Arabidopsis thaliana: one gene and its partners. The protein of the gene in region 1 interacts with the protein of each later gene in a pairwise test. Each region holds a gene or a part of one and is shown in the gene's direction. Other genes may lie near its edges.

Evidence for each region.
Region 2: the proteins of FHA2 (region 1) and BZO2H1 interact in binary tests that used the Arabidopsis thaliana proteins (3 or more experiments, as listed by UniProt).
Region 3: the proteins of FHA2 (region 1) and CUC2 interact in binary tests that used the Arabidopsis thaliana proteins (3 or more experiments, as listed by UniProt).
Region 4: the proteins of FHA2 (region 1) and AT1G11510 interact in binary tests that used the Arabidopsis thaliana proteins (3 or more experiments, as listed by UniProt).

What each region holds. Positions count from the first base shown.
Region 1 is NC_003074.8:2,292,601-2,300,072, forward strand, and holds FHA2 (SMAD/FHA domain-containing protein), read left to right. Parts: upstream 1-5,285; 5' UTR 5,286-5,367; coding exon 5,368-5,962; intron 5,963-6,159; coding exon 6,160-6,317; intron 6,318-6,597; coding exon 6,598-6,807; 3' UTR 6,808-6,972; downstream 6,973-7,472. Other genes in the region: AT3G07210 (uncharacterized protein), read right to left, coding at 400-1,780, 2,257-2,519; AT3G07230 (wound-responsive protein-like protein), read left to right, coding at 7,320-7,390. UniProt on the Arabidopsis thaliana protein: May play a role in the control of plant organ development and specifically in the regulation of stamen development. Does not show transactivation activity in yeast.
Region 2 is NC_003075.7:1,149,821-1,158,034, forward strand, and holds BZO2H1 (bZIP transcription factor family protein), read left to right. Parts: upstream 1-4,133; 5' UTR 4,134-4,210; coding exon 4,211-4,621; intron 4,622-4,709; coding exon 4,710-4,791; intron 4,792-5,137; coding exon 5,138-5,324; intron 5,325-5,405; coding exon 5,406-5,481; intron 5,482-5,557; coding exon 5,558-5,683; intron 5,684-5,772; coding exon 5,773-6,122; coding exon of another isoform or gene 6,123-6,126; exon of another isoform or gene 6,127-6,243; coding exon 6,244-6,265; 3' UTR 6,266-6,536; downstream 6,537-8,214. Other genes in the region: AT4G02620 (vacuolar ATPase subunit F family protein), read right to left, coding at 176-258, 512-593, 1,250-1,312; AT4G02630 (Protein kinase superfamily protein), read left to right, coding at 1,863-3,341; AT4G02650 (ENTH/ANTH/VHS superfamily protein), read left to right, coding at 6,719-7,403, 7,482-8,214. UniProt on the Arabidopsis thaliana protein: Transcription factor that binds to the C-box-like motif (5'-TGCTGACGTCA-3') and G-box-like motif (5'-CCACGTGGCC-3'), ABRE elements, of gene promoters. Binds to the 5'-ACGT-3' motif of seed storage protein (SSP) encoding gene promoters (e.g.
Region 3 is NC_003076.8:21,899,717-21,907,972, reverse strand, and holds CUC2 (NAC (No Apical Meristem) domain transcriptional regulator superfamily protein), read left to right. Parts: upstream 1-4,118; 5' UTR 4,119-4,177; coding exon 4,178-4,367; intron 4,368-4,447; coding exon 4,448-4,731; intron 4,732-5,353; coding exon 5,354-6,007; 3' UTR 6,008-6,269; downstream 6,270-8,256. Other genes in the region: AT5G53960 (Mid-1-related chloride channel domain-containing protein), read right to left, coding at 1-19, 101-248.
Region 4 is NC_003070.9:3,869,942-3,876,913, reverse strand, and holds AT1G11510 (DNA-binding storekeeper protein-related transcriptional regulator), read left to right. Parts: upstream 1-3,984; 5' UTR 3,985-4,077; coding exon 4,078-5,136; 3' UTR 5,137-5,191; downstream 5,192-6,972. Other genes in the region: AT1G11540 (Sulfite exporter TauE/SafE family protein), read left to right, coding at 1-444, 649-798, 894-1,034, 1,130-1,438; CXXS1 (C-terminal cysteine residue is changed to a serine 1), read right to left, coding at 1,603-1,758, 1,920-2,042, 2,319-2,396; AT1G11520 (pliceosome associated protein-like protein), read right to left, coding at 3,295-3,885; AT1G11500 (transmembrane protein, putative (DUF1218)), read right to left, coding at 5,344-5,572, 5,670-5,896, 5,983-6,096; AT1G11490 (zinc finger (C2H2 type) family protein), read left to right, coding at 6,849-6,972.

The sequences.
Region 1 (7,472 bases):
ATGTTCTCTCTCAAGTTCACTAGAAGGCAGTAATGGCATCTGCACATTTTTCTGTTGGTCCACAGTTACCTCTTATGAAAAGATTATTCTTTTGGTATCATTCCCATGAAATCATTGCTGTGCAGATCAAAGAACACATCCAACAGTCATGGCCCAATCTATGTTCTGATAGCAAAAACGAAAATACTTTTTTACTTCCAGGAACTCAAAATCAATGATTGCTTTAAGGGCTTAAACCCGATCGATTCAAGATTCTATGTTTCCTATTTGTTGTTTTCTTCAATATGTCTGCACAAGAGTTAAAATAAAATTGGTTATACAAGAATGAGAGATATCGAAATCTAAACAAAGATGTCTCTCTTTCTATGAAGGTGGCTCTTTCTCCGGTCTGTATCGACCTTAGAACGCCCATCTTGGTGAAGAACTAACAGCTCTAGGTCTAGGTACCGGTTTGATAATCTGTTGCTCTGAACTATTAATCCTTTTCTTCATGATAGATGAGACCGTTGGGCTGTAATAGTCATTACTCCTCTGTGACATTGCTCCTTGTGAATGCATCTTCTTCCCATGGACGAAGCTTCTCTGTTTCTCCAGCATTTCTCTTCTACCATTCAAACTCTTCTGAGGAGTTCCCCATCTGCTGGAGCTCACACAGCTTTGACTCCTTCCAACTCTCTCATGATGAAACTCGCTTTTTCTTGGAGGAGTTGGGTAGTTTCGGCTTTCTGCTGTTTCTGCAGAATACATTGTCTCTTCCTCGCTGCTGTATCCATGATTGTTATATACATAGTGAGCTGCTGCTGGCGGTGAACTTGAGATGACCTCACTGAGAGCACCATTTACTGAACCTGTCGAAGCAATCTGCGCATCTGATCCTTCAGAGACAATCTCAGCCTCTTCCACTATATGGTTACTCTGTAGAGAGTTGAGCTCAGGATGAAAGGTTATAGCTTTAGGTATCCGTGGAGGAAAGTTGATGTCCAAAAGGTGTACTTGAGCTGTCTCATTTCTTAGAGGACCAGAAGTCAACTTTGGCGATTCATATATCTCAGGGGTAGGGATACCCTGCGCATGAGTAGTAGTTCCGCAGACTTGTGGATTGGTTTTTGAGGTTTCTTCTTCTTTTTCTTCCTCAGCAGCGATAGAAGAGCTCGGATGAGTTTGATCTCTAGTGTTAGATGAAGATGGTGTTCCAACATCAGCAGAGTCGTTTGGCTTGAAAACACGGCGCATGGTGAATGAAGTACAAGAACGCTCACTCTTCTGACCAGAAGACATTAATCGAATGAGAGGCAACTTAGGTTTCGTCGTATGTTCATCCAAACTACCTTCCCAATGCTGATTCAGCCAGTCACATATTACTGGTATTGGTATACCAAACTGCATCATCAGTGTCTTGTTGTTATCTTTCTTCAAAGAAGAAGAGGAAGATGACGAGGTTGAGGTTGGTGATGTCGATAGTTTCCTCGGATCACAAATCATGAATGCAAGATTCCCTTGAACATCAAATCCAGCAGATCCAGGACTCCAAATCATTTCATCAGTTGAGAGTTTGATGAGATTGTCGGTAGCTACAACTAACTTTCCCTCGCCGATCTTGAGTTCATTCTGATTGGCATAGCCTAAGAGGTACACCACACTCCCTAGATCCAGGTTTGGTTTGGAACATGTCTTCAGGTAATGTGGTTGTTGTTGAAGTTGGCTCTGGGAACTTGAGTCTCCATCAACAAGGTCTAAGCCAACAATAGTGAGATCAATAACTGAACTCGTAATGAAAAACCTGCAAATGACACCATATAAAGATAACACTCATTTTCTGATAGCTAAAGAACAGAAAACACCATCATTGACCAAACAAATCCACAATTCAGATTGGTTCTTATTATGTTTGATGCAATCAAGACGTTTCCATTTTGGGAAATATCTGAACAAATGAATTTTCATGTTCCAATAATCACAAAATGATATATCAATGTTTTGGTTTAAAGTTTATGAAATTAAAATGAAAACTTACCAAATTCAGCTACAGATCCAGAATCATTACCATATAACATAAGTACAGTATAAAGCTCTTTTCTTTTAAGTTCTTTTGGTTTGACGAAAAGATATGGATTCATTTTTGAAAATTTGAACAAGAGCCAATTTTTTTGATGGCATTGCATCAAAATTTACCAGGATCGTGCAACCGACAACACAGGAAAATGAAAAATCAAATTTTGAATCAAACTCAAGAGAGAGTAAAGAGAGAGGTGGGACCTGTGAGGGAAGAGAGCAGCAGCGACACCGTTCTGAAGGCGGACCTCGGCGGTTTCGGTGGCGGAGATGGAAGGAAGATTGAGGTGAGTGGTCAGAAGAAGATTCCGGTGAATGAGGAATCCAGTTCCAGAAGTAACACCATTTGGTCCGGAGACAGAGATTCGAGCCATCGCCGGAGCTTTGCCGGTAAAAATGGAACCTTTCATCTTCTCGCTTTTGCCAACTCCTTTACAAAAGCACCATGAGTCCAATATCACTCCCATTGTCTCTCTATCTCTTGATTATGCTCTCAGATGGGTTTTGTGTCAAATTCCCTAATTTGGCAATCTGGGTTTTGGAGGAGAGTGTTTTGGATCTGAAAAGGATGGGAATTTAGGAGAGAAGTGTGAATTGGATGCGAGTTAGTAATAATGGGATTAGGGAGACACAACACATGTATGTGTCTGTGTCTGTTTGTGCTGTAAAAACATCAACTTTCTCCGGATTTGGTCTCGATGAAGACCCAAGAATGGGAGAAAACTCGAGAAGAGGTAAGTGAGAGAGAAACAAGAGACAGGGGAATCGTGAAATGAGTAAAGAGATGTGCTTCTTTAAGGAGCTAGCTGGGGACTTCTTCTTCTTCTTTTATCACTTTTATTTTTTTCTTTAATTCAAAAGAAAATGTATAAAGATTGGGGGAAATGTTTTCTTTATTTGGTTTAAGTGTGTCATTTTGTAAGAAGAAGCAAACAGAGGAAAAGTCTAGAGTGACAGAGAGGATCTTTGTACATGTGATGAACATGGATGGACTTTTTGCTTATTATGATTAGTGTTTTTTGCTTAACGTTTTCTTTGCTTGTCGATTTGTCTAATCATGGTTTCATTAACTTATATCTCTCTTTGTTATCAAATAGATTTGGTCATTTAACCAAATTGTAATGTATATGATTACCAGTTTTAACCATCTCGGCAAAAATGTAAAATTAAAACGACATTTCCATTTCAGAAATCTAGCTTATAATAAACTTGGAATAGTTACATGTTGTTAGATTGGTTCAGTTATGGTTGCAAGTCAATTTATTATCACTTATCAGCATTCAAGTCCAACTTTTTACTTCAAAACAAACAAAACTAGAAAATCCAATTCAATCAATTTTATTGGAGCATTTAAGTTAATCTCAAGTAGTTTAAACTTGAAAGAGTTGGATTCACAACTTATTGTATACACGAGAAAAAATGTAACAAACGATATTCCAAAAAAAAAAGTCAATTAAAGTGAACTTATCAGAATAACATTGTTCTTCATCATGTTTAAAACCCCAAAACAAAATCCAATTGCAAACACCGGTTTCTCAATGTACATCTCTCAAAAAAACATAGTAAACGACTGTACATAATGAAAATGGGAACTCTTTCTATGAACCATCGAAGACTCCAAGTATTCTATTACACTGGTTAGGGAGTTGAAAAGAAGTAAACCATAATGTGTCAAATCCGATCCAACATCAATTCCGTTAGCGCTTAAGAAGTCTTTTTGCATCTGCAATATCCTGCAATATAACAATAGCACCAAAACAAACTAGTACATAATCAACATTAACAACAGCTAGGAGCAAAAGCACTAGTCAAGAACTTAATTTAACCTTAATTAACAATTCGAGTTAACAAAGAAAGAAAAGAGTACTGAAAGTACCCGCTGCAGAAAAACTGCTTCTTTAGGAGAGGTAGGGAACTGCACTAAACCGATTCCAACAATTAATAGCAAAGGACACTACAACGTATATAGGTAGCTGGTGCAAAGATATACATTATTAATATTGACTAACTGAGAATAGCAATAAGCAAAAATGAGCACAACAGACTCATTACTAACCAACTATGTTTGGCTACGAGCCATAATTGCAGCCTGCAAGAGAGCAAACTAAAAGGCAGAGACAGCTACCAGCAGGCTCAAAATCTTGACCACATGCTTCATTGTCCTTGAAACAAAGTTTATGTAAGATTTGAGTATTGACAATATACCAGAAAAGAGGACTACACTAATGCATTTTCCGATTTCTTGCATATTTGGAGCTGACCATGAACGGGTGCCATTAAAGGATATCTATAGAAGTGAATTCCTTCAAATAACAAATTGCCAATTCTAAATCCATTACGCATAATTTCCACACATCTTAAGCAACTTATGTCCAGACCAGAATCTAGCATAGTCATGATAACTAAAAGAACAGTAAAATGCAACCCAAACCATCAAAATGGGAAAGGAAAAAAAAACGACTTTTCACATTTTCTTGGATCTCATAATACAAGCGGTCAGGAGCTCAAAGCCCTTTAAGCATAATTTGTAGAACCTGAATCTTAAAAAAAAAAAGAAACACAAATACATGATTTCCCACCGTTCCTCAGGATTTTAAACATTCTATAGTCAGATCCTCAGGAAATCAAAGCCATTACACAACACATTTCAGAACATTATAGGCTAAATGATTTGAAAACTTGAATCCTAAAATTCATTAAGCTGCCCCAAAACCAAGCTTCTACTAACAAAACAAACTACAATTAACCATCCGAATCAAACCATGCACCCAAAACTCGAATTGAAATTTGATATATCTAACAATGATTGAGCTGCCATCAGAATGAATTATTAGAAAATAATTTTGTCACGGTTCCTTCAGACCAGAGTAAACTCCAATCATCCGAAACTCAAAACCCTTGCGCAAAATTTTCAATCATCATTTGGCAACTTATTCAATCAAACCAACAACGAAAATAAACAAAAGGTTACATAAAACTAACCAAGCCTATGTTCTAAAGCAAACGAAATCAAAAAATTCAAACAATCAATAAGATGCTCCACTATTTGCGGGAGAGATGGAACCTTTAAGCTCACAGATCTCGCCGCCATTCTCAATGTTTCTTCGGCTGTTTTAAATAGTTGTGTCATTAGGGTTTTTATTCAGGTCTTAAAATCATGGGTATAATCGTCAATTTCACAAAATAAGCCTTTGTCCTGGATAAGCTAAACCAGTTTCCAAACAAATCTTGCTTCGATTCACAAATTATTACGATTGCAATCCCTAATTTGGAAGTCCCGGTTCCTCTTTCGATCAAATCGGAGAATTTCACGGCATGGCTACGGCTGTTGGTGGCGGAAGCGATGTGGAGGTTGGATTTGCGAAGCTTCAAGGTGAGGATTTCGAGTACTATATGCAGTCTTACTCCATTATACTCGGCCGGAATTCTAAGAAAGCCACCGTCGACGTTGATCTCTCATCCCTCGGCGGTGGGATGAACATCTCGCGCAACCACGCTCGGATCTTCTATGACTTCACTAGACGACGCTTCTCTCTCGAGGTCCTTGGCAAAAATGGCTGCCTCGTTGAAGGTGTTCTTCATCTCCCTGGGAATCCTAACGTCAAGCTCGATTCACAAGACCTTTTGCAGATCGGAGACAAAGAGTTCTACTTTCTCCTACCGGTTCGGAGCATCTTAGGCGGGCCGTTGGGACCTAGGCACCACGTCTCTGGGCAAACAAGTGTTGTTCCATACCATAATTATCAGTCGGGTCCAGGTTCTGGGTCGGGTAAGAAGGGCGTCAGGAGTAGAGAGTTGTATGAGTACGATGATGAAGATGATGATGACGACGACGATGAGGAGGACGATATGAGAGGAAGTGGAAAGAAAACAAGGAGAGATGGACATGAAGTAGTATATGCTTCCGGAGGTAAAACCAGATTGCTCATGATTGTTTGAGTTTTCATTGTGCAACTAGATATGTTTCAGATTATGATGCTTACTTGATCACATCAGGCTTGTTTCTTTAGACTTTGATTGTGGTGGTTGCTGATTGAACCTTGTTAGACTTGGATTGAATTTGAATGCTAGTGACACCACGACATTGTATCTGCTTCATTTGTGCAGAGAAGAAGAGAGAGGGAAGATCAAAGGTAGATCGTGAAGCTGATGATCAACAATTTTTGCAGCTGGAGGAAAAAGATGTTGTATCGTCTGTTGCCACTGTGCTTTCCGATTTGTGTGGTCCGGGAGAGTGGATGCCTATGGAAAAACTTCATTCGGTGGTTAGTTTTTATGAGAAAGTTCCTTGCCTTTTTCTAATACAGAATGTAGTACGAGTAATCAATTGAAACAAGACTTGTATAATGTCAAGGTGATAATTAGTGTGAAGCTAGGTCCTTAATTAGTTTTCCAATGGAAACGCGCTACGCTACTTATATGTGTCTAAGTCTAGAAAGTATGTCAGTTACTCCATAGATTTTGAATGACTAGTGTAGTCTGACTATGAACTTCTTTGTGATTCAATATGATGGCTAATGCATGGTAGTGGTTGGTCTGTGACAGATATTAAAGGAGTATGGAAACGTATGGCATCACAGTCGAGTAAGAAGATACCTATCACAAGAAGACTGGGCTATCCCTGAAGCAAAAGGTAAACCATGGTACGGTTTGCTGATGCTGCTGAGAAAATACCCGGAGCATTTCGTCATCAACACGAGATCAAAGGGAAGAGTTACCCTTGAATTCGTTTCCCTCGTTACCCTACTCTCATGAGAACTTTACCTTAGTGACTCGGATTAAGATTTAAGAAGCTTTTCTCTCTTTTCTTTGTTTCATATGTAAAATATTTTGGCATTGATTAGTAACACGCTGTGTCGTTTTTCTGCACCCAAAAACGCCAACTTCTTGGTCCTTGCAGTTGAGAGATTTTGATTTTCTTTTTCTTGATTCTTATTTTTGATAAACCCATCGAGATTTTTCTTTCATCAAAGGGCAAAAAATTCGTGCCAATTCAGAAATCGTTATGTTCGGTGGATTTGGGCCATAAAAAGAGAAAAGGCCGAAACAGAGAATGATCCAAAGTGGCTCAAGTACGTATCCAGACAATATAAAAAGGTTGGAATGTGCAAACTTAGGGTTATACTCGTATCTTGTAGCAGCCACTAAAGCAAAATTCTGAGATCGAAAAAGCTATATAAAAAAAAAAAACTGCTTCCGTTTCATCGATTTTGTCCAGATCTTCCCCTTCTTCCGGTAATCGAAGCTTACGAGATAGTTGAGTGAAGATGATCTATGATGTGAACTCTGGTCTATTCAGATCCTTCCTGAGCCAGAAGGGTAGCTCGTCCGACAAAAGGTACAAAATCTTGTCTTGTCTGATCCAAATATGAGATTATCTCGATGTTGTTCCCAGATCTATCTATTGATGTGTCATTCTT
Region 2 (8,214 bases), on another chromosome or scaffold:
AGGGTGCGTGGAAGCAAGTAAGATAGTCAATAATGGCATTAAACATAAGGGGCTCAATAAAGTGGAGGAGTACAAGTCATGAATCCTTTGATTACGACTTAAACAAGACAGTACAGACATAGCAGTTAAGATGAGTAACATTACAAGTAAACTGGATTTGGAAGAAGACACTTACATATTGGCTTAAAAGAATGATAGCGATATCATCCCTTGCTGAGAATTCCTTGAAAGCATCCTCAATTTGTCTCACAGTTGTCTCTGAAAAGACAAAACCAAAAGAAAAGAAAAATCAATTAACTTAGAAGACTAGATGGGTAATTTATACAAATTCTACAGAAATAGAAGTTAAGAAAGTTATCTCCTAACAATTCCACACGAAATTGATTAGATGAAAAACTTCAACTAACTTGATTTTGTCAAAAGGATACCACTTTGAGATAAGTGACATAACTTGATTCATGATTGAAAAGATTATCTTTCCTCAAGATCATATTGAGTTAGAAAAACATACTTGAATCCACGATGAGGTAATTTGTCTTCCTCCTTATGTCAACATTACCAACTCCAGCCATCAAAAATCCAACAACAGTGTCCTGTACACAAAATTTAAGTCTTGTAAGTGGCATTGAAGATTGCTAAAGGGTTATATCAACGGATAGTTCCAAACAATTCTGCCACCATTGGCCAATTAAGTGTCTGCCAGTAACAAGTCGTTGTACAAGGAAGAAAATGCAAGTTAAGTCTAAAATAAGAGACTAGACATGATTTTCTGATAGAATACAATGGAGTAAATCCAATTGTTAAGCCAGAACAGTTGTGAAGACTAACATTAAAAAACCTAAACCTCTTGTTATTCAATGTTAATACAGTTTCTAGGAAGATTTCTACTCCTTAGTTTCCTGATTCGTGCTGAAATCAAAATTCAGTAATAGCAGATCAGATCATCTGCAGATTTGGTCTGATCCCAAATCAAGAAATACACAGAACTACGGACAAAGCTATTCTAAGGCTTGAATCACTACCAAAAAGATTAAAAATTCCACAAACAAATCCAAAAAGTCAAGCAGTTTACGGATAAATAAATCTATACAAACAACGCATTGATTTAGTTCAGATCACATCTCAGAGATTCAAAACTCAACACAGAAGATCCAAATGAAAAATCAAAATTATCTAAAGAATCAAACTAATGGAACCTCAAATCCTTCATCAACATATAAAAAGATGAGTTTTTTGGTAACGAATTTACCTCATCGGCGATCATTGCGATGAGGGCAGAGTTGCGAGCAGGGATCGTAGCTCTCCCAGCCATATTTGATTCAACTACACACGATAAACAATTCCAGAACAAAAATCAATCCAGCGAAGAAGACAATTATCGAAATTGGGTAAAAACCCTGATCAATTCCTGATCTTAGATTCGAAGATAAAGCAAAAGCTCATAGATTTTACTCATTACCTCTTTTTCTCTGTTCTTCTCTCCTTCTTCGATTTGATTTGATAGATAGATTTGTGTAAATCACAACCAAAGACCACGCGCAAAAAAAAAACTTGTTCAGAACACGATTCAATTGACAATATTACCCCTGACTATACCTTTAATAACGATACTACCCTCCTTTAATAATTGCTCATTAACAGTAAAAGTGGCAAAAGTGTAAATATATACTAAAAATAATGATGAGTGCAAGTCCCATCAAAGCCAGCTTGCCTCTTCGAGGGTACGTTTGTCTTTTCGACATCTCTTTTCTTGTCTCTACTTCAGAAAAACCTCCTGTGATGATTATTATATGTGAAGCAGAACAAAAGCAAAAAGAGAGAGTCAGAGGAAGAAGAAGAAGAAGAAGAGTCAGTGAGCTGCAATGGCGGATTCTCACTCAGTCAACAATCAGCTCTCGAGACACACTTCCATTTTTGGTTTACGTTTATGGGTTGTTCTCGGCGTTTGCGTTGGAGCCGCGATCGTTCTTTTACTCGTTCTCATCTCTCTCTGGTTCATTTACCGACGAAGCAACAAGAACAAATCTCTTGAGTCTTCTTCTAAATCTAACCATACGATTGTTCCCGTTGTTTCCAAGGAGATTCAAGAGATTCGACCTCCAATTCAACCCGACCCAACACCGGAGCCACACCAAAACCAACAAAGAGAAGACGATAACAAAATTCACATCGAAATTGGTAAAGATCATCGGATTGCGTACCCGGAACGAGGAGGTTGGACTGGTTCCGGGTCTGGGTCCGGGTCGGGTGATCAGGGTTTACTTATGTTGTCGGGTCCTGAGGTTTCTCATTTAGGTTGGGGACATTGGTATACGTTGAGAGAGCTTGAGGTTTCTACTAATGGATTTGCTGACGAGAATGTGATTGGACAAGGAGGTTATGGGATTGTGTATAGAGGTGTTCTTGAGGATAAATCAATGGTGGCTATAAAGAATCTGCTCAACAACAGAGGACAAGCTGAGAAAGAATTTAAAGTCGAAGTCGAAGCTATTGGACGCGTAAGACACAAGAATCTGGTGAGATTGCTTGGTTATTGCGTTGAAGGAGCTCATAGGATGTTAGTTTACGAGTATGTTGATAATGGGAATTTAGAACAATGGATTCATGGTGGTGGTTTGGGGTTTAAGAGTCCTCTTACTTGGGAGATTAGGATGAACATTGTTCTTGGAACAGCCAAAGGGTTAATGTATTTACACGAAGGTCTTGAGCCTAAAGTTGTTCACCGAGATATTAAATCGAGTAATATCTTGCTTGACAAGCAATGGAACTCGAAAGTTTCTGACTTTGGGTTAGCTAAGCTCTTGGGTTCGGAGATGAGCTATGTGACTACTCGTGTGATGGGTACGTTTGGGTATGTGGCTCCTGAATACGCGAGTACCGGAATGTTGAATGAGAGGAGCGATGTTTATAGCTTCGGTGTTCTTGTTATGGAGATTATTTCAGGGAGAAGTCCTGTGGATTATAGCCGGGCTCCGGGAGAAGTGAATCTTGTGGAATGGTTGAAGAGATTGGTGACGAATCGAGATGCGGAAGGAGTTTTGGATCCGAGGATGGTTGATAAACCGTCGTTAAGGTCATTGAAGCGTACCCTTTTGGTAGCTTTAAGATGTGTTGATCCTAATGCTCAAAAGAGGCCAAAAATGGGTCATATCATTCATATGCTTGAAGCTGAGGACTTGGTCTCTAAAGATGATCGGAGAAACTCTGGAGGAGGAGGAGGAGGAATAGAACAGGGAAGGTCACCGCGGAGGAAGACAAATGTGAATGAATCAGAGGATGAGAGTGGTAATTCTGTTCTGATCAACAATGACCAATTAGCTTTGGAGAATAAGCAGAACTAGTAAAAAAGAAAGAAGCTTTGGCATTATAATTTTGTATTACTATTTTTAGAAGTTTTTTCTTGTGTGTGTATATTTATGTGTGTAGATTCTTAGCCCTTTCACAAAAAAAAAAAAAATGTGTGTAGATTCTTGTAATTTTGCAATAATTAAAACTGGGGATTGCTTGAAAAATATATATATGGTTTGTTTTTTTGTATTCTTTTGGTTCGTTCTCTATTGTAATATAGCCTACATAGTGGTGATTTGTGGTATTGGTGACACTATGTTAAGGTCAAAAAGAAATAGAGAGTAAATTCCATATATATGAAAATTGAAAATGACTGTTTAAATTTACATATGGCGCGAAAAAATGATCTAGTTCGTTAATTATTTTTAGAAGCTTTTTGTGGTAAATTTAGATTTTTAAAAAACTCCATATATTTTTTTTTTATAATTTAGGCTTGTCTATTGTAAATTTGTAATATAGCTTAGTGATTTATTTGTTTAGCTTCTGGTGACATTTTATAAATTTTTAATGACCAGTATAATATAGTATTTTTTTATAAATTAAAATATAATCTAATGTTTTATGTCAACTTCGTTGTTCATTGAATAAATCAAACTTTGAAGAATAATTAAATAACAATGTTTGCAAAAACTGTTACGTTTTTTCATGTAAACATTAGTGGACGTTATACAATAGATATTTAAATTATAAAAACTATTCAAAGAATATTGTAAAGAAATAAAACAGAAATGTGTAAGAAAAAATGTTTATTTTATTGTACGTAATAAAAAAAGAGAATATACTTGTGTGGGTGGACCTAAATGCAAATAGGCAAAGTACCGACAAAAAAAGAAGAATCAGAAAGTGAAAAAGAGAGCGAGCGATGAACAGTATCTTCTCCATTGACGATTTCTCCGATCCTTTCTGGGAAACTCCTCCGATTCCTCTCAATCCCGACTCTTCTAAGCCTGTTACGGCGGATGAAGTTAGCCAGAGTCAACCGGAATGGACTTTCGAGATGTTTCTCGAAGAGATTTCTTCGTCGGCGGTGAGCTCTGAGCCACTTGGTAACAACAACAACGCGATCGTCGGTGTTTCTTCGGCGCAATCTCTTCCTTCTGTTTCCGGACAGAATGATTTCGAGGATGATAGTCGATTTCGTGATCGCGATTCGGGAAATTTGGATTGTGCTGCTCCCATGACGACGAAGACGGTGATTGTTGATTCCGATGATTATCGTCGTGTTCTTAAGAACAAGCTTGAGACTGAGTGCGCTACTGTTGTTTCTCTTCGGGTGTGTTGTTAATCTTCTATTTTTCTTATCTATATGTGTAATTTGTGCGTTTTGATCTAAATCTGAAGCTCTGATGTTCTCTTCTTAGGTTGGGTCTGTGAAGCCTGAAGATTCGACTAGTTCTCCAGAAACTCAACTTCAACCAGTTCAATCCAGTCCTCTTACTCAAGGTAAGAGTCTCTTCTTAGTTTCACCAGGATAGATGAGCGATGATAAACCTGCAGATTCGTTTCTCTGTTCTGTGTTTGTTAATTTAGATGCCTAGGTTAAGGAATTAGAAATAGAAAATGGTACTTTTGTTGGATCAAGCGCCTAGTTTTATCCGTCAAGTTTCAATCTTTTTGTGACTGACTTTCTCATTGAAATTAAACTGCTTTCTGGAAGAACAATAAGCTTGGGATTGAGATGAGTTCTGGTGGTTAGTTCAATATATGGGAAATCATTATTTCAGCGCTCGTCTTTCTCTTTCAGATATCTCTTCTGAGTCTTAGACATAGTAAGTTTTAATCGTGGTAGGTTCTTTGATGACCCCAGGAGAACTTGGTGTTACTTCTTCCTTACCAGCTGAGGTGAAAAAAACTGGTGTATCAATGAAGCAGGTTACTAGTGGATCGTCGAGAGAATATTCTGATGACGAGGACCTTGATGAAGAGAATGAAACCACCGGTTCCTTGAAGCCAGAGGACGTTAAAAAATCTAGAAGGTAATCATTACTTTTTCTCCAATTTCTTGTCGTTTGAAGATTACATTTATAGAGCCTTGTTCTTCCTTTTAATATTTGTAGGATGCTGTCAAATCGTGAGTCAGCTAGGCGATCTAGAAGGAGAAAGCAGGAGCAAACAAGTGACCTCGAAACACAGGTTTTGTGTTGTATCCTCTCAACACCTCATTTTTGTGTTGAAGGATATTAATGAGACCTAATTTGTATTTTGATAGGTTAATGATCTAAAAGGTGAGCATTCATCACTTCTTAAACAACTGAGCAACATGAATCACAAGTATGACGAGGCTGCTGTTGGCAATAGAATACTAAAGGCTGACATTGAGACATTAAGAGCTAAGGTAAGAAGACTTAAGTATTATCCTCCTCTCCTTTTTCTGAACTACCCTTTTTTTGTATACAGTTTTAGTAACTCCCATGTTATGTTAAGGTGAAAATGGCGGAAGAAACCGTGAAGAGAGTAACAGGAATGAATCCGATGCTTCTCGGAAGATCAAGTGGACATAACAACAACAACAGAATGCCAATAACTGGTAACAACAGGATGGATTCTTCTAGCATTATTCCAGCTTATCAACCACACTCAAACCTAAACCATATGTCAAACCAAAACATCGGGATCCCAACCATTCTACCTCCAAGACTCGGAAACAATTTCGCTGCTCCTCCATCCCAAACCAGCTCTCCCTTGCAGAGAATTAGAAATGGGCAAAATCACCATGTTACTCCAAGCGCCAACCCGTATGGCTGGAATACCGAACCTCAGAACGATTCAGCATGGTAAGCTAAAACATGGCTCTTTCTTTTAAGACCATTGAACAATTTAAAACCATTTGAAGTACTATGATCCCTGTTTATACATATCAGATTCCTGTCTCCCCTTTTTTTGCTCATTTTACAGGCCGAAAAAATGCGTGGACTGATCAAACAAGAAGCGGGTTTCGCACTATATTAATGTCTATGCATCTGTAATTTGTAAGTGTTATTAAGTTACGAATCATGAGAAAACATCTTGTGAAAATACAGTCTCATGGCTTATATATATATATAAGCTCTGTCTTATAACATTACAAGATTCTTATTTGAGAATCGTCTTTCTATTTATAGCTAATAACAGAGTGTATATCTGTTTTTATCCAATTTTAAAAAAGATAGCTCACATGGCTTTACTAATTTCCCCTATCATTAAATTCCGACAACCTCGGCGATTTCCATGGTAGATCGATCAAGCATTCACATTTTCTCGTCAGAAAACACAAAAAAAAAAAACAGAGGAGAAAAAGAGACGACGACAAACAAGTGAAAGAAAAAAGTCGTCGTTCTTCCAATTTTTTTCTCCTCTCTCTTCCTCTGTTTAACGGCGTACGTAAGTCAAAATGGGTTCAAGTAAGCTAAAACGTGCCATAGGAGCCGTGAAAGATCAAACAAGCGTAGGATTAGCCAAAGTCGGTGGTCGAAGCAGTTCTTTAACGGAACTCGAAATAGCTGTCGTGAAAGCGACGCGACATGATGACTATCCAGCGGAGGACAAGTACATTAGAGAGATTTTATGCCTAACTTCTTACTCACGCAATTACGTAAGCGCTTGTGTGGCAACTCTCTCGCGACGGCTCAACAAGACCAAGAACTGGTCGGTTGCTCTCAAAACCTTGATTTTGATCCAACGGTTGCTAACAGATGGAGATAGAGCCTACGAGCAAGAGATCTTCTTCGCGACGAGACGAGGAACGAGATTGCTTAACATGTCTGATTTCAGAGATGCGAGTCAGTCTGATTCGTGGGATTACTCTGCTTTTGTTCGGACTTATGCTTTGTATTTGGATGAACGTCTTGATTACCGGATGCAAGGAAGACGAGGGAAAAAAAAAAGTGGTGGTGGTGGTGGCGGTGATGGTGATTCCGGCGAGGAAGATGATCATCGAGGGACAAGCAACGATATTCGGTCGAAAGCTATTGTGGTTAAATCTAAACCAGTCGCAGAGATGAAAACAGAGAAAATCTTCAACAGAGTACAACATTTACAACAGCTTCTTGATCGGTTCTTGGCTTGTCGTCCAACAGGTAATAATTAATTTCCTTGGAACACACGCTTTTCCACTTTCGGATTTCTTGGTTAATAAGTTAGGTCTTTTGCAACAGGTAATGCGAAGAACAACAGAGTGGTGATTGTGGCTATGTATCCGATAGTAAAAGAGAGTTTTCAGTTATACTACAATATAACAGAGATCATGGGAGTATTAATAGAGCGATTCATGGAATTAGACATTCATGATTCCATCAAAGTCTATGAAATCTTCTGTCGAGTTTCTAAACAGTTTGACGAGTTAGATCCGTTTTACGGATGGTGTAAGAACATGGCAGTTGCAAGATCTTCAGAGTATCCAGAATTGGAAAAGATTACACAGAAGAAACTTGATCTCATGGATGAGTTTATAAGAGATAAATCAGCTTTAGCTGCACAAACAACAAAATCATCATCAAAAAGGTCTAACAAATCTGAGGAGGAGGAGAGCAAAACAGAGTATATTCAAGAAAATCAAGAAGATTTAAACTCCATCAAAGCATTACCCGCACCGGAACAGAAAGAAGAAGAGGAAGAAGAAGAGAAAATGGAAACAAAGAAAGATGTTGAAGAAGTGGTTTCAAGACAAGATCAAGAGGGTGATTTGCTGGATTTAACAGATGAAGCGGGTGTAACGGCAGGAACGGTTGGTGATAGTTTGGCGTTAGCGTTATTTGATGGTGTCGTTGGGACCGAGAGTGCGTCTGGACCGGGGTGGGAAGCGTTTAACGATAATTCGGCGGATTGGGAGACGGACTTGGTGAGATCGGCGACAAGATTGTCGGGACAAAAGAGTGAGCTCGGAGGAGG
Region 3 (8,256 bases), on another chromosome or scaffold:
TCTTCCAAACTCCTCACCACTAAAACGGAAAATTGAACAGAATCAGAGTTTTAATATTTTTAGAAACTAGGAATAACAGAATAAACAAATATTCGCGTACCTTTCTTTAACTTCTCGATCGTATCTTCCAGTTGCGATGTCATCACATCGTCGATGTTGAGTATGGAAGTATCGTCGATGTTGAGTATGGAAGTACCTTCTATAATCTCACGGGTAGTATCTTCCAGTTGCGATGTAGAGGCAGCCATGGTAGGGATCGAGTCTGAGAAAGTGTAGATCTCACGCAAGGAAGAGCAGGGAGAATAAGAGGGAAAATTAGGGTTTGTGGGATGCTTAATTCTACATTTTGTTTGGGCTTTTTAGTATATAAGATAAATTTGTTGGTTTCTTTTTCGGCCCCTTATTTTTATCTTAGAAGAAAAACTATAATGGGCCTCAGGACCAGGCCTGGGAATACTATAATTTATTTATTCATCTGATAATCTGATATCATCAAGGCATATTTAAAATAATATGTTTGGGTAAAGTTGAGATAAAGATATAATCATTGATAAACTTAATCAAAGTAACTTCGATCCTACTACATTTTCTTCAGATATAGCGTGCAATTCAAGAAAATACAAGTTAAGAGAGAAAATAATTCTACGTATGTAAAACAAATATATAGTATACAGGTAAAATTTATATATGGGGCTGTACTATAGTCTTGAAGAGTGAAGACGCGAACAAGTTGCAAAAAAAAAGGAAAAAAATAGAGAGACGTTGCATCAACAGCTAGGTTTTAGGTGTAAGGCTATCAAAGGGGACCAAGAAAAAAAACACACCAAAGAAGTGTCTCGTAAGAAACTAAAGGGTAAAAAAAAGTGAAAATCACAAATCTGTTCACATTTTTTGAAACAATATATAAAAGAAGTGTCCAACATTCAAGACCGAGAAGGAGAAGCACCTCCTTCATCAAATACGACGGTGATTCACTCAGATGGATCAGCATTTCCTTTGTTTTCTCCTCAGGAAATCATTAGCATTGTGGTCGACTAGAGGAAGAGTTAAGAGATGAAGAAGAAGAAAGAATAATCAATGCCTATACACTAAATTAGTTTAACTTAGACGATCTTTACTTATTATCTGATATTCTGATTATTTGATAAAGAAGTTCAAATTCGACGTTTCTTACACAATTGCCTTTAATCTAAATATATATCATAAATTAAGATATTTACAGTATACAATTATTTATACATTACAGAAAACAGAGTCCATGTAGCCATATAATGCTATATTAACTGCTCTTCTCCTTACCTACTCTTCGACTGCTTGAGCTTGACCATCGAGATAACAAATAATTTGGTTTTTGTTTTGGGAAAGTCTATCTGAAGTAAGATCCTCTTTCGAACCATAAAAATTACAAATATGTATTATCAAAAAAATGTTGACCACAAAAAGAAATTAAACATAGATTGGGCTATTAGTTTACTCAAGTGAGTAGGTCACAAGGGAATATCTACTGTTTCTTAATACTGTGTTAACCTCCTGCATTTATAATGCTATCATTATTTATTTTATTGGGTTCTCTTACGTCAAATAGTTTATTATTGGCATTTGTTCATTTGCTTTTTGCAGTTATTAAAAAAAGATGATATGCGGTATTACCAAACATTTTAGAAAATAAATAAAAGTTTTGTAATAAATGATTGATAAAACAACAACGAATTTTATGGTAGGACATATGTTTTTCTGTAGAGAAAAACAAATCCATTTTGGTGTTCGAAAGCAGCCATAAATTTCAGATCAATAGAAAAATATAAACAATTTGGAAAAGAAATTGAAAAATAAAATAAAGAGGATGATATGTATATAGAATATCAAACACTCTACTATTGTGTTAATTAATCAAAAGGGGATAAATGTGGTATTTAAAGTGTCAAAAATATAGCATAAATGGAATGAAGGTGATAGAAAGTAGGGAGTGTGCATTTTAACCTTGAAAAAGTACGGATATTAGATATTTAAAGTCATAAGAATATTTTTCTCGTTATGAAAAAAATGCTAAGCAAACAAACAAATTAACCGTGAAAAATATATGTTTAAATTAAGATAAAGTAAAGCAAATTTCTAAAATTTGGCAAGGTCAATATCAACATTGTAATCTGTTTGGCCATTGTTTTCAGTTTAAGACAATTAACACTTTGGCACACTAGAATGTATTCAAAACTTCATAAATTCAAGTAATTACAATTATATAATGTTATTGCTTCGGTTCATAGCTTGGTGATAATCTTTTACTTCAACTATCTGTAATTAAGACAGGAAAGGATCTTATTAATTAGATTTAGTTACTGTCATATGCAGATATGTCTAAAAAGACGTATAGATAGACCTACAATTTCTAGATAGTAATAAATACTACTATTAAACAGTAGTAGCAGGTGTAATAGTCTTAGCATGTCTCTGATAATGATTTTTAATGTATAATTATTACTTTGCATACTTTATAACATCTTCTTTTTTTTAACTAATAGTTACACACATGATAAGTCCGTAGATATGAATACTCGAAGGGGAGAGTTATTTTGATTTAAGTTTATACAATTTTTTCATACGGTTAAAATAGTCAATAAGTCTGTAGTTAATTTATTAGTAGAAATTGATCAACTCACTATCTTTTTAGTTTGATCTTAAGGTCTTTACATTTTTGGGTGTGTCTTTTATTCTTTAGTTTATTCTTTAGTACATTTTTGGGTGGGAAATTTTAAAAAACAAGTCATGTCAAATAGGGCTAAAATTGAAGTTCCACTAAAATAAATAATTTGTATGAGATAATAATCAAAATATTGGAAGTAACAGAAATAAATTAACAATTGTGAAATTTACGTTTAGTCATGTCATTTTGGTGGACCTGTAACAATCAACATAATTGATAATTAGTTATTTGATGAGCCATAATTAATTTATATAAAAAAGGAGAAAAAACAGACTTGAGATAGTAATTAAGAAAACTACAAAACCAGGCAGCATAAATATCTTCTCTGATTTGCAACCTGTAACTTCTTGATTAAATTATTTTTCAATCTTACATCATAAATCTCGTTGCTTGAAAATAATGAAATTTAATTTTCTTTTGCTGAGTCTTACAAATGAATATGAAGCAATGAAAAGTAACTAAAAATCCATCACAGGAGTAAAAAATTGGAAAATGGAAAAGATGAAACAAAAACGAAAAGAAAATCAAGGAAAAAAAAAAGAGAGGTGAAAGGTGTAGAAGGTGGTGGCGTGTAGTAACGAAGTCTCTGTCAAAGTTTTTGATAAATTAATCATGTACTGTGCTGACACTCCAAGATTTGAAACAGCCTTATCGATATAATATCCATTTTTCTATTAAAAATAAAAATTGAAACTCTTCACTTTCCAAATAACTAGTGTATATGTCTAATAATGTATCCCTCACTATACTACTATTGTTTCGATTAGTCATTGTACGTATAATAAATTATTATGTATCCCAATTTCCAAACACAATAATAAAAAGAAATTTCAAGTTCGTAGATAAAAAAAAAGATACAATCTGAATCCTCTCTTTTATTTTCATCACTGACAGAGAATACCACTGCACTTTTTCTCATGCACGCACGCATACTCAGATAGAAACAAGAGCCCATTCCTCGTTTCTTTAATAATTTAATTCAAAGAAATACGGACACTTCATGATTAATTTTAATTTTGTAATTTTAAAACAATCTCGAGTTATGTAAAAAATATATCGATAAACTCAAAAATGTGATGTAATAATCTGCTTTGGCTTTGCTCTCTTTACTACAAGACAAGGCAGAGAAAACCACAGATTCCTATGAAAGAGTAGACGTACCTGTCTTTTTATTATTACTAAATTTATAATTATCTTCTCTACGACTTTCTGGTTTTTAATCTTTTAATAATTATTTTACTTTCACTACCCCAAAAAAAAAGCTTCCCTCTATTTCGCCGTTTTAGATTTACCAAATCCCAATGTATAAAAAAAATAAACTAATAAAACCAAAAAATAATATCCATCCACATTATTACCACGCCCCTTACTCAAGAACCATCCATTATATTAACCTATTTATCTTCTTCTTCAAAACATTTGAGTCTCCTTAGGGTTTTTTCTCTCTCAAACAAAAGCTTTAGATCTTTCTTCTTAATGGACATTCCGTATTACCACTACGACCATGGCGGAGACAGCCAATATCTTCCACCGGGTTTCAGGTTTCATCCCACGGACGAAGAGCTCATCACTCATTACCTTCTCCGCAAAGTCCTCGACGGTTGCTTCTCAAGCCGTGCCATCGCAGAAGTTGATCTCAACAAGTGTGAGCCTTGGCAACTTCCCGGTAAGAAAATACAAAACTAACTTACTTGTAGTTCTTTTGTAATTAAGGTTTCTGAAATCTTTACTCTCAATGTTACTTAGGGAGAGCTAAGATGGGAGAGAAAGAATGGTACTTCTTTAGCCTCCGTGACCGGAAGTATCCGACGGGACTGAGAACTAACAGAGCAACTGAGGCTGGTTACTGGAAAGCTACCGGAAAAGACAGAGAGATCTTTAGTTCAAAGACTTGTGCACTTGTTGGGATGAAGAAGACTCTTGTCTTTTACAAAGGAAGAGCTCCGAAAGGAGAGAAGAGTAATTGGGTTATGCATGAATATCGTCTTGAAGGCAAATTCTCTTACCATTTCATCTCAAGAAGCTCCAAGGTACTTCGATTTAACCTTTCATTAGTTATTTTGTTGATAAAGTAAAGCCTTAATTTTCTTTGATTAATAAATTTACAATCTATTATTTGGAAAAAAAATTCGAGAGTGTGACATAGTCGGTGACGTTGATTTTTTTCTCTTTTGCTTTATTGCATTTAATTTTGATGGCTGAAAAGGCATGGTTCTTTACTGTGGTTATCTGAGAGCATTATGGAACATGAAATAGAAAAGATCTGCTGTTTTTATGTATTGGGATTTCAATCATAATGGTGTTTTCCTAAAGTAAGAAAACATTCAATAGCTCTGATAAAATAAAATATTAATACATCCTACTTTTGGAAAGCTTAATGCAAAAAACCAGAACCAATGCAAATCTTCAGGATTTTTTTCTGACCTAGATATATTAAAAAGAAATTTAATTAAATTAATTTTACTTAATTAGTGTTCCATATCCATTGTAGACTTGTAGTGTCCAATGTACATTCCCTCTGTGCACGCTTTTACTCTATGGTTTTTCTTAATCTTCACTCTCTTTTATTTCCAAGATCTAACATTGACTTTCTCATCAAACATATATTATATAAAATATTTGACTTTTCAAAACTCTAATTTATTCCTTCAGGATGAATGGGTGATCTCTAGGGTTTTCCAGAAAACCACTTTAGCTAGCACCGGAGCCGTCTCCGAAGGAGGAGGAGGAGGAGGAGCAACTGTGAGCGTAAGCAGCGGTACTGGTCCATCTAAAAAGACGAAAGTACCCTCAACAATCTCAAGAAACTATCAAGAACAACCAAGCTCTCCTTCCTCCGTCTCACTCCCACCTCTCCTGGATCCGACCACTACCCTCGGCTACACCGACAGCAGTTGCTCCTACGACAGCCGTAGCACCAACACAACCGTCACAGCCAGCGCAATAACCGAGCACGTGTCCTGTTTCTCCACTGTCCCTACTACTACTACGGCCTTGGGCTTAGACGTTAACTCATTCAGCCGTCTTCCACCGCCGCTAGGGTTTGACTTTGACCCTTTTCCTCGTTTCGTTTCTAGAAACGTCTCGACTCAATCTAACTTCAGATCGTTCCAAGAAAACTTCAATCAATTTCCTTACTTTGGATCGTCTTCTGCATCGACTATGACCTCCGCCGTTAATCTGCCTTCTTTCCAAGGCGGCGGAGGCGTCTCCGGGATGAATTACTGGCTACCGGCGACTGCCGAAGAGAATGAGTCAAAGGTCGGTGTGCTTCATGCTGGACTTGACTGTATTTGGAACTACTGATCACAAAAGAGGTGACTTATAATTGTTCCCGTTAGGGTTTTATTTATGTATTTCTAGGATGATTATGGTATTATGAAATGTGTGTACCGAGGAGCTTAATATTGCACTTAGCTTGATGTTCCGCTTAATTCTCTAGTTTTAAGTTTATCCGGTTGTGTTAATTAGGAGGTAATATGCAAGGAAAATGTTTTCTAGACTATGAACGTGCATATGTATAAGCTATGCTCGTTTTTGTAATGTTTGACATTATGTTAATTTCATGGCTTTTTCATGTTTTATATTTCTCATGATATTTGACATGTGTCCTTGGTTATCAATACAATCATACAGTATATTACCGACAAAATGAATTTCTTCGGTCGCTTCTAGATACCTTAGTTTTCTTCTTGTTAATACAATTTGATATGGCGGTTATATATATGTTTCCGGAATTCAACCGTTCCGAATCTTCGGTTAGATGATTTCCGTAATTACATAACATGGCTAATTATTTAATTTCTTCATCAATTGAAGATGCTCAAATGTAAAACATGCATGTAGTTTTTGTTTATTAATTCTAGCTAATTAAGGTTGACATGTGTAACTGCCAAAATATTTCAAGAAAGTTTCATGCTTTTAAAGTAAGTACTCATAATTCAGTGGATTAATCAGTCTATGAACACCATTTTCAGTTAGGTGTATCTTCTTGCTACAATCGTACACATATGAGACTAAACACAACAATTTGCGTTTGGCTTAATTGATTAAGATAACATGCATGTACATGGTAGTTACTGAAAATAATTTACATACTAATTTTGATTAACTTAATGCATTGTAAACCCACCAAAGAAAAGAAGTAGTTTTGAAATTAAGGATTTTGAAACGGGGATGATGAATATGATGCGCATGCTGACGAACGGACCACTCCCAAATTCAGATCTTGTACAACAGTCCACCTCACTTTCAGAAGGATGGCTTTCACATTTCTATTTTTAGAAAGAGACATAATTAATAATACCTCTGTTTATTACCATTATATATGTGTTTTCATTTCACGTGTGTATACTAGTAGGAGTATGATATATGTATGTGTGTAACACAACCATCATCATCATCATCATCATTACCATCATCAATTATTGCTCTTGTTGCATCACCAACCTATACTACCTAGTCATAAGACAAATTCACAGACTCACATATACGTCTTGCTAAATGGCAAAATTTCATGATGTTTTAGCTAAAGGAATATATGTACACATTTGTATGCTTATTATTTTGGGTTTCATTGGTTACATTTGCAATCACAAAACAAACTAAGGCAAATGGTATTGGTTCAAAAAACATTGACCAACATATATATATATATATATATAAGAAAAAACCCAGCTATTTACACAAAAGAACAGCTAAGTGATGATAAGAACTGACTAATTTTATCACACTATGTATATATAAAAAAGCAGAAAATTCAGCTGGCCTGACTTAAAAAATAAAAATCTTAAACCAAAAGTTACTATATTTTATTATTATTATCAGCTTCAATAACTACAACATTTAAATTTTACTTGCTTTTCTAAAAGATGTCTGATTTTTTGCCCCAAAAACAAATGTCTGATTTTGTACGTCATTACGCCCACACCGATTACGCCCAACAATTATCATGTGATTAAAACAGCTGGAAAGTTTGTGAAGAGGAAAAGAAAAATTATGCCAACTAAATCTAAATCAAAATTTCGCATATAAATCAATTGCATTCAAATGATGTGCCAACGATTTTTTTTTAAACACACATACATGTACACTTTCAAATGAATATATAAAATTAAGCATTTGAGTGTCCTATACTATTTTCAAAATTGCAGAAATACTGCTTTAGCTACATAAAGAGGTAAAAATAAGGGTTGTTTTCTTTGTCGGACTGAAACTAATTTCAAGTATTTGTAATCTTCCCAGCAAGAATATTCTCTAAATTTCTATTTATATCGAGCAATTATTACAAGAACCCTAAGTATTCAAATACAAGTACATGGCAATATGCATGTTTCGCAGCAAATGACAAAACCTGAGAGTGAAAAAATATTAAAAAACATCATCAAACTCCGACGATGATGATGGTCGTGGTCCCAACAGTATTGAACCCTCCAGGTTGTGCCAAATGGCAGATTCATAACCGTTGATGGACATGGCCGGCGAGGTAACGGCACGTGATACGAGCATGCATGCAATGTGGTTATACGTACTAATGAGTGGAGAGAGTAGGCTTG
Region 4 (6,972 bases), on another chromosome or scaffold:
ACCGGCGTCTCTTTCGCTAACGTGGGATGCAATCTTTTCCTGAGAAACCCTAAATCAAGAGACAAAACCCTAATCGACTTCGATTTAGCTCTTACTATTCAGCCATGTCTACTTCTCGGAGTAAGTATTGGTGTGATCTGTAACCGTATGTTCCCAAATTGGCTTGTGTTGTTTCTCTTCGCTGTGTTCCTCGCCTGGTCAACGATGAAGACTTGTAAAAAGGGAGTTTCTTACTGGAATTTGGAGTCGGAAAGAGCGAAGATTAAGAGTCCAAGAGACGTTGATGGCATCGAGGTAGCGAGATCGCCGCTTCTGAGTGAAGAAAGAGAAGATGTGAGACAGAGAGGGATGATTAGGTTTCCATGGATGAAGCTTGGAGTTTTAGTGATCATTTGGTTATTGTTCTTCTCTATTAATCTTTTCCGCGGAAACAAATACGGTCAGGTATGAATTTAAGTATCTAAACGCGTATTTATGATTTTTGGTCGATTGATTTGAATATTTTTCTATCTCAATGCTCTCATTGCTCTGTTTCCACATTCCCTCCACTTATTTGAACGTTCCTTGAAGTGTTATAATTCTTTCCAAATTATTGAAATCTTAATGGCATGTAGAAGTAAGAAGTTGATATACTTTGGATTTGCACAGGGAATCATATCGATCAAGCCATGTGGAGCTCTCTACTGGTTCCTCTCCTCGCTTCAAATACCTCTCACTATCTTCTTTACTCTCTGCATTTACTTCAGTGACAATGTTCAAAGCAACCACACATCGCATAGTAACCAAAACTCTGAACAGGTCCAATACATACTACTTGCTGTTGATTAAATTAGCTTTTCTGTTGGTCAAAAGTCAACAGGTTTGATGAATATGAAACTGAAATTACTCCACAGGAGACTGGAGTTGGAGGAAGACAAAACAAGTTGATGCTCCCTGTAATGGCTCTCTTGGCTGGAGTTTTGGGTGGCCTCTTTGGTATTGGTGGTGGAATGCTCATTAGTCCTCTTCTTCTCCAAATCGGTATTGCTCCAGAGGTACGTTCTTGAGTCTTGTTCTCTAGCAGCATCAGAACCAAAGTTTTACCAAAACAAGCAATTGGATTCTTAAGTTAATCGTGCTCTCTCTACAGGTAACTGCAGCTACATGTTCGTTCATGGTTTTGTTTTCTTCATCAATGTCTGCAATCCAGTACCTACTACTAGGCATGGAACATGCTGGAACCGCTGCGATATTTGCTCTGGTCTGTTTCGTGGCATCACTGGTTGGACTAATGGTGGTTAAGAAGGTTATAGCCAAGTATGGGAGGGCTTCGATCATTGTGTTTGCAGTTGGTATCGTCATGGCACTTAGCACTGTACTGATGACAACCCATGGAGCTTTTAATGTTTGGAATGATTTTGTCTCTGGTCGCTACATGGGTTTCAAATTACCCTGTTAAGAACCAAAATTAAATAAATCCAGTTCTTGTTTATAACAGAACTTGCTTTTATAAAAATTTACACTTACACTTGATATTTCACACAAACCAAATACCAAAGTTACAAACTAATTACACTTCACACAAACTTTATTTAGTATTCTGCTCGTATCTATAAATCTCTCTTAAGCAATATGAACAACACGTGAGGACTGAACGAAACCATCGACCCGTTTCTTAATCTCATCAGGGTTTGCGCCCACGAGTTTGTCCATCGCATTACCATCCTTCAAGAACAAGAAAGTTGGCATCGCCTTTACCTCTAGTTGACTTGCCACTTCCTGACCAATCCAACATAGTAAAAAACAAAGAAAAACCATTAATCATCTACCAATTTAGCAACTGTTTAAATCTTTTACTCTTGATGGTTAAACACTTCTCTTCAACAAAGAAGCCAAAGTAGAAAGACATATCAAGTAGAGAGACACATAAGTAGTTTTACCTTAACTTCATCAACATCAACTATTAGAAACAGAGCATCCTTATAGTTAAACGCAAGCTCTTCGAAGAAGGAGTTCATAAACACAGAAGGAATACACCATAATGCAGTGAAATGAGCCACAATCTGCAAAAAACCATAAAGGAACAACCGTTCTTGGTAATTCATATAAACAAACAAGACAGAGCCATTCATTCACAATCCTGAACATTAATATTCATGGTTCATTCTCACTAACTTCATATCTTAAAGAGTAACACAATTTGGATTTAACCAATTGTAAATCAAATTCTCCATAAAACTCTAATCCTAAGATCTTGATTCTTTCATAGGTCTTGGATCTAAATCAGATTTCATTTTGGCTACTAGAAAACGAAAGTGATAAGAGGAAGAGAGACTTACGGGACAATTCTGATTCTTGGCTTGACTCACATAGAAATTCCATGACTCTGCAGAATCGATTTTAACAACTCTTGCCATCTCTTGGAGCTTCCTTTTTTTCTAAATCTCAAACAAGATTTGGTGATTCAGTGTTTATCTACTTGCATGATGGGACCGAGTGGACAAAAACTATGTCTGAGTCATACACAAAAAGTGTGGCCAGTTATCTTTCAACGAGTTACGAAATAATTTATTAATTTCTAAGATATTTAAGAATAAGTGTTGACCAAGAAAGCTATATTAAAAAGAGAACCAAAAAGAAAATAGATATTTTTTTTATGACTATATGCAATGTTAATGTTTAGAGGAATTTCATTGGTGGTTTCTAAATATAAGTTTCTTAACATTAAAACAACAAAAATAATATTATTTAATTATGTGGGTTTCTTAAATATTTAGAAATTCTCTCCAAAATTTCTTATATAAAGTATTTTGGAGATGGTTTCTTCATTAATCAAAAAACCCACACATTTTTTTATAATAAAACTTATCTCTCTAAAATAAGAAACTTAAGTTTAGAAACCATTGATGGGGTTTGAATCCCCTTACAAGTCAGAATAATAAGGGGATTGAATTAACTTACATACTGCAGAAAGACCAAATCCTTCAAAATGTAAATATTAGGTTTACACAATGATGCAATCACCTATTTAAAAATTTACATCATTGGTGGTCTAACATTTTTTTTTTTTTTTAATAAGCATTAAGACTAAAAACTCAAGATCTCTTACTCAAGACTAATAATTCTGGAACATGAATCTCTTTCTATGTCTCATGTCCAGAATCTAAAATCTTTTTTTTTTTGTCTCTTCCATAACGCACCTCAGAAGTTGAAATCTTTCTTTTTCTTCTCTTCCTTGCCATGCATTTTCCTCTTCCTACTATTCTGCTACACATGCTCGACGACCATGTCACTCAAGTCCACTGGCTTATTGCGCTATTTCTCCTCTTCTCTTGCCTCCTCATACTGTAAAACATTTCCCATAGCATCCAGCTCTTCTGGCTGTAAACTGAAATCCACTCTATCTGTCTTTTGCCCTCTCAGCAAATCAACCCTTTTGGTTCCCGTCTTGTCCTGAGTACCAGTCTTAATAACGTATGTGTGTGTAGTTCTCAGCAATGTTCCAGGAGCAACAACACTCTCTCCCTTTTCTTCAAGTACCTGGTATAGAGCCCTATCAGGTTCCTTTCTCTGTTCCTTACGAAGTTCAATTGCATCCGGTGTCTCAATACCAGTAGGAGTGCTTGACAGAGATTTTGACACGTCCATTGCATCTACATCGGCCTGAGATGCTTTGTTCTTCTTCTTCCGCTTCCGTCTGCGGCGGCGACGGTCGATCTCACGAGATTTCTTGGGAAGGACGCTATCAACGTGTGCGACGATTGAATGAGCGGTCATATTCGGGTGTTGTTGTGAAAAGAGAGATCTAACATTTATTTGTAAGAGATAAAATATAGGGAAATAAAATTGGTCAATATAGCTAATTTCCAAATTTTTAAGGAAGGAAATCGGAAATCTAAACGTCATGCAAAAAAAGAGGAAAAACAATAAATAATTTTATACGTTTTCCAATAATTTTTTGATTATTTATTTTTGGAAAACAGAGAGACACTTTGTTCAATATATATAAACCCTAAGAACGAAGTGGTGAAGGCAGCAAAGCAAAAATCTCAATTTCAACCTCTTAAGTCTCTCCAAAGTCCCATAAACCCTAAAACAATGTCGAGACGTTTCAATCCGTTAGAAGATCCGCCGAGTGCTTCTTCAAGCGACGAAGAAGGTAAAGAAATCGCACGAAACTCTTCTTCGGATGATGAAGATGACGTTTCCTCTGAAAACCCATCACCTTTGAAGACGACTCTCGACGCCGTTTCCGATTCCGAATCTGGTTCGGATGAAGAAACCGATTCAGACTCTGAACTCGAGAAGAAGAAAGATCAAGTTGTGACGAATCCTGTGGATGTGAAGAGGGCTAAGAAGGTGAAAACCTCCGAGAAATCTGGGGCTAAACGTTCTCTTGAAGTGGATGAAGCAGCAGTGTCTATGGATGTGAAGAGGGCTAAGAAGGTTTCAGGGGAAGAGGAGAAGAAGAAGAGTGGTGGCGGAGGAGAAGAGACGAAGAAAACTTATTTCCAGCGACTTTGGACTGAAGATGATGAGATTGTGGTTTTACAAGGTCTGATTGATGACAAAAAAGATACAGGGGTAAGTAATACGAATAAGGTTTATGAGTTGGTGAAAAAATCTATTAGTTTTGATGTTAGTAAGAATCAGCTTATGGAAAAGCTTAGGGCTTTAAAGAAGAAGTATGAGAACAATCTTGGTAAAGCCAAGGATGGTGTTGAACCTACTTTCGTCAAACCTCATGATCGCAAGGCTTTTGAATTGTCTAAGTTAGTTTGGGGAGGTATTAGAATGGCTCTTGCATCTGGTATGAAATCTAATGAGAAGTCGAAGAAGAGTAGTAAGTTTGAGTCTGTGAAGCATGAACTTGATTCTTCTTTGCCCAACAGTAAAAACAACTGTGAAGATGAGGTGATGGATGAAGGAGAAGTCTCTTTTACAAAGTCTTCTCTTGTTAGATCGATAGTGGGTCTTGGCATGGATGAACTTACTGCTCAACAAGGATTGAGTAAGCTTGCCTCAAAGGATATGAAGAGATTTTACGAGCAGTGGAAAGCGATGCAGGCTAGGGAATTTGAGTTCTTTTTGCAGAAGCATGGTTTTCTTTTTGAAGTGCTATCAAAGATATCTGAAGCATTTGGATCAAACGCTTAGATATATTTATGGTTTTTGTTTTTTTGGTTCTGCCTCTTTTGTTTAGAACTCTTGGCTTTTTTATATTATATTTTAGTTTTCTATTGATTCTTGAAAGAGTTTATTTTGGAATATTGCGGATTTATCAAAATGGAAGGAAGCTTTTTTGAAGCAATTTAAGTTTATTTACAGATGAAACATTTTGTGTATCTTGATGAAGAAGACGTGTTATGCGCGGCTTCTATTTGCTAGATTTTCTTGTTGCGCATTCTCTTTGTCTTCTTTTTTAGCAGCAATTGCTGAAACATAATATGCTGAAGTCACCACTCCATGTCCTAGACAAAATATGCCTCCAATAAGAAAAAACCAACGATGTGGCAAGCTGCAGAGTCGATTCGTTCTCGAGTTGGCTAATGTTCCTATCATTAGCGTTGAGTAGCTGACAACAAAAAAGATCCTAAGACAAACAAAGGTATGTCAAAAACAAAAACAGCTGACATAATTCAAATTTGTCTTTTGAATGAAATCCAAAAACCTATTATCTTTTCCATTACCAGGAGAGAACAAGGAAAGCCACAGCGAGTATCTTGTTCGCCGTTGCTCTTTTGAAATCTTGCTTAGAGCGAATGTAAGTGCAGCCTCCAAGCACATTAGCTAGGACATGGACAATAAACAGAAGCACCATTGCAGCTACTCCCTCAGCAAATGCTCCATCGCTGGGGCTTCTTCGACATCCAGAACCTGAATGTCTTGAATGTTGTTGATGATGATGATGAGGTGCCTGAAGGATAAACATCAAATACAAGAAAAGATTATTGGTAGTTAAAATAAAATAAACTACATTTCACTCTTAATATAAAACAGAACCTTGCTTTGAGCAATCTCGGCTTCGATCCCGAGGACTGTAGCTGTAATGTCTGCACATATGATCACAACAGAAACCAAGAACCCAAGTTCACTTTCCATTTTTCCTTGATTCATAATAAAAACCTTATATTTTTATTTGATTACTGTATTTATTTCAATTGTTCTATGAAAGTTTAAGGAAGAGGAAAATAATAAGGAAACAGCATCAGATTACTTTCCTAAGCTTGCCTCTCACTGCAAGACAAAAGAATACAGATTCGGTTTTGGTCTTTCCAAGTAAGTAAAGTTTCATTCCTTTTCTATATAATGACATTAGTTTGGATGCTTTTCTTGTAAACTGGATATAGTAGTAAATAATTCTACTACAAAGATATAATTTCATATTGAATTAAGAGGTTGATCACATGTTTGACTTTTTTACTTTAAAAATGTCAAAGCTCAATAGAGGCAGCATGTGGCGTTATACTCTGTTTTGGAACGTGAAGAGAGGTGAAAATTATTATTCCCATATCTTTTTTTCTTTCTGTAATCATATTATGCTAAAAATTATTATAATTTTCCAGGTTGTAATTGGAAAAGAATCATACAGGGTTAAGATTTGATCATTTTTTTTTAACATAAACGTCAAATTTTAGTTGTAATTTTCTATTTCTAAAAAAGATTTTTTAGTTTGTTCTTTCATGGTGTGACATGATATCATACGTTTATGGAAATCTTCAGTCTCATTTTGGAAACAGTTTGTGTAGATATGGTGAAGCAGGAACAAACAGAAACAGAGCTGTGTCCGAATCAAAGCCAAATCTTCATAGAATATCTTTATAATTCACATCTCTCCCAGTGAATCCAAAGACGGATCTTGAACAAACATGCGTGGGGTTTGGCTTTATCTCAAGAAGTCTCTTAGCTGCTGCAAGGCACAGAAGTCAACTGTAGCTTGTGATCCAGACAAGATCCAAATTCAGAAGAAGGAGAATCCATCTGGATGCTCAA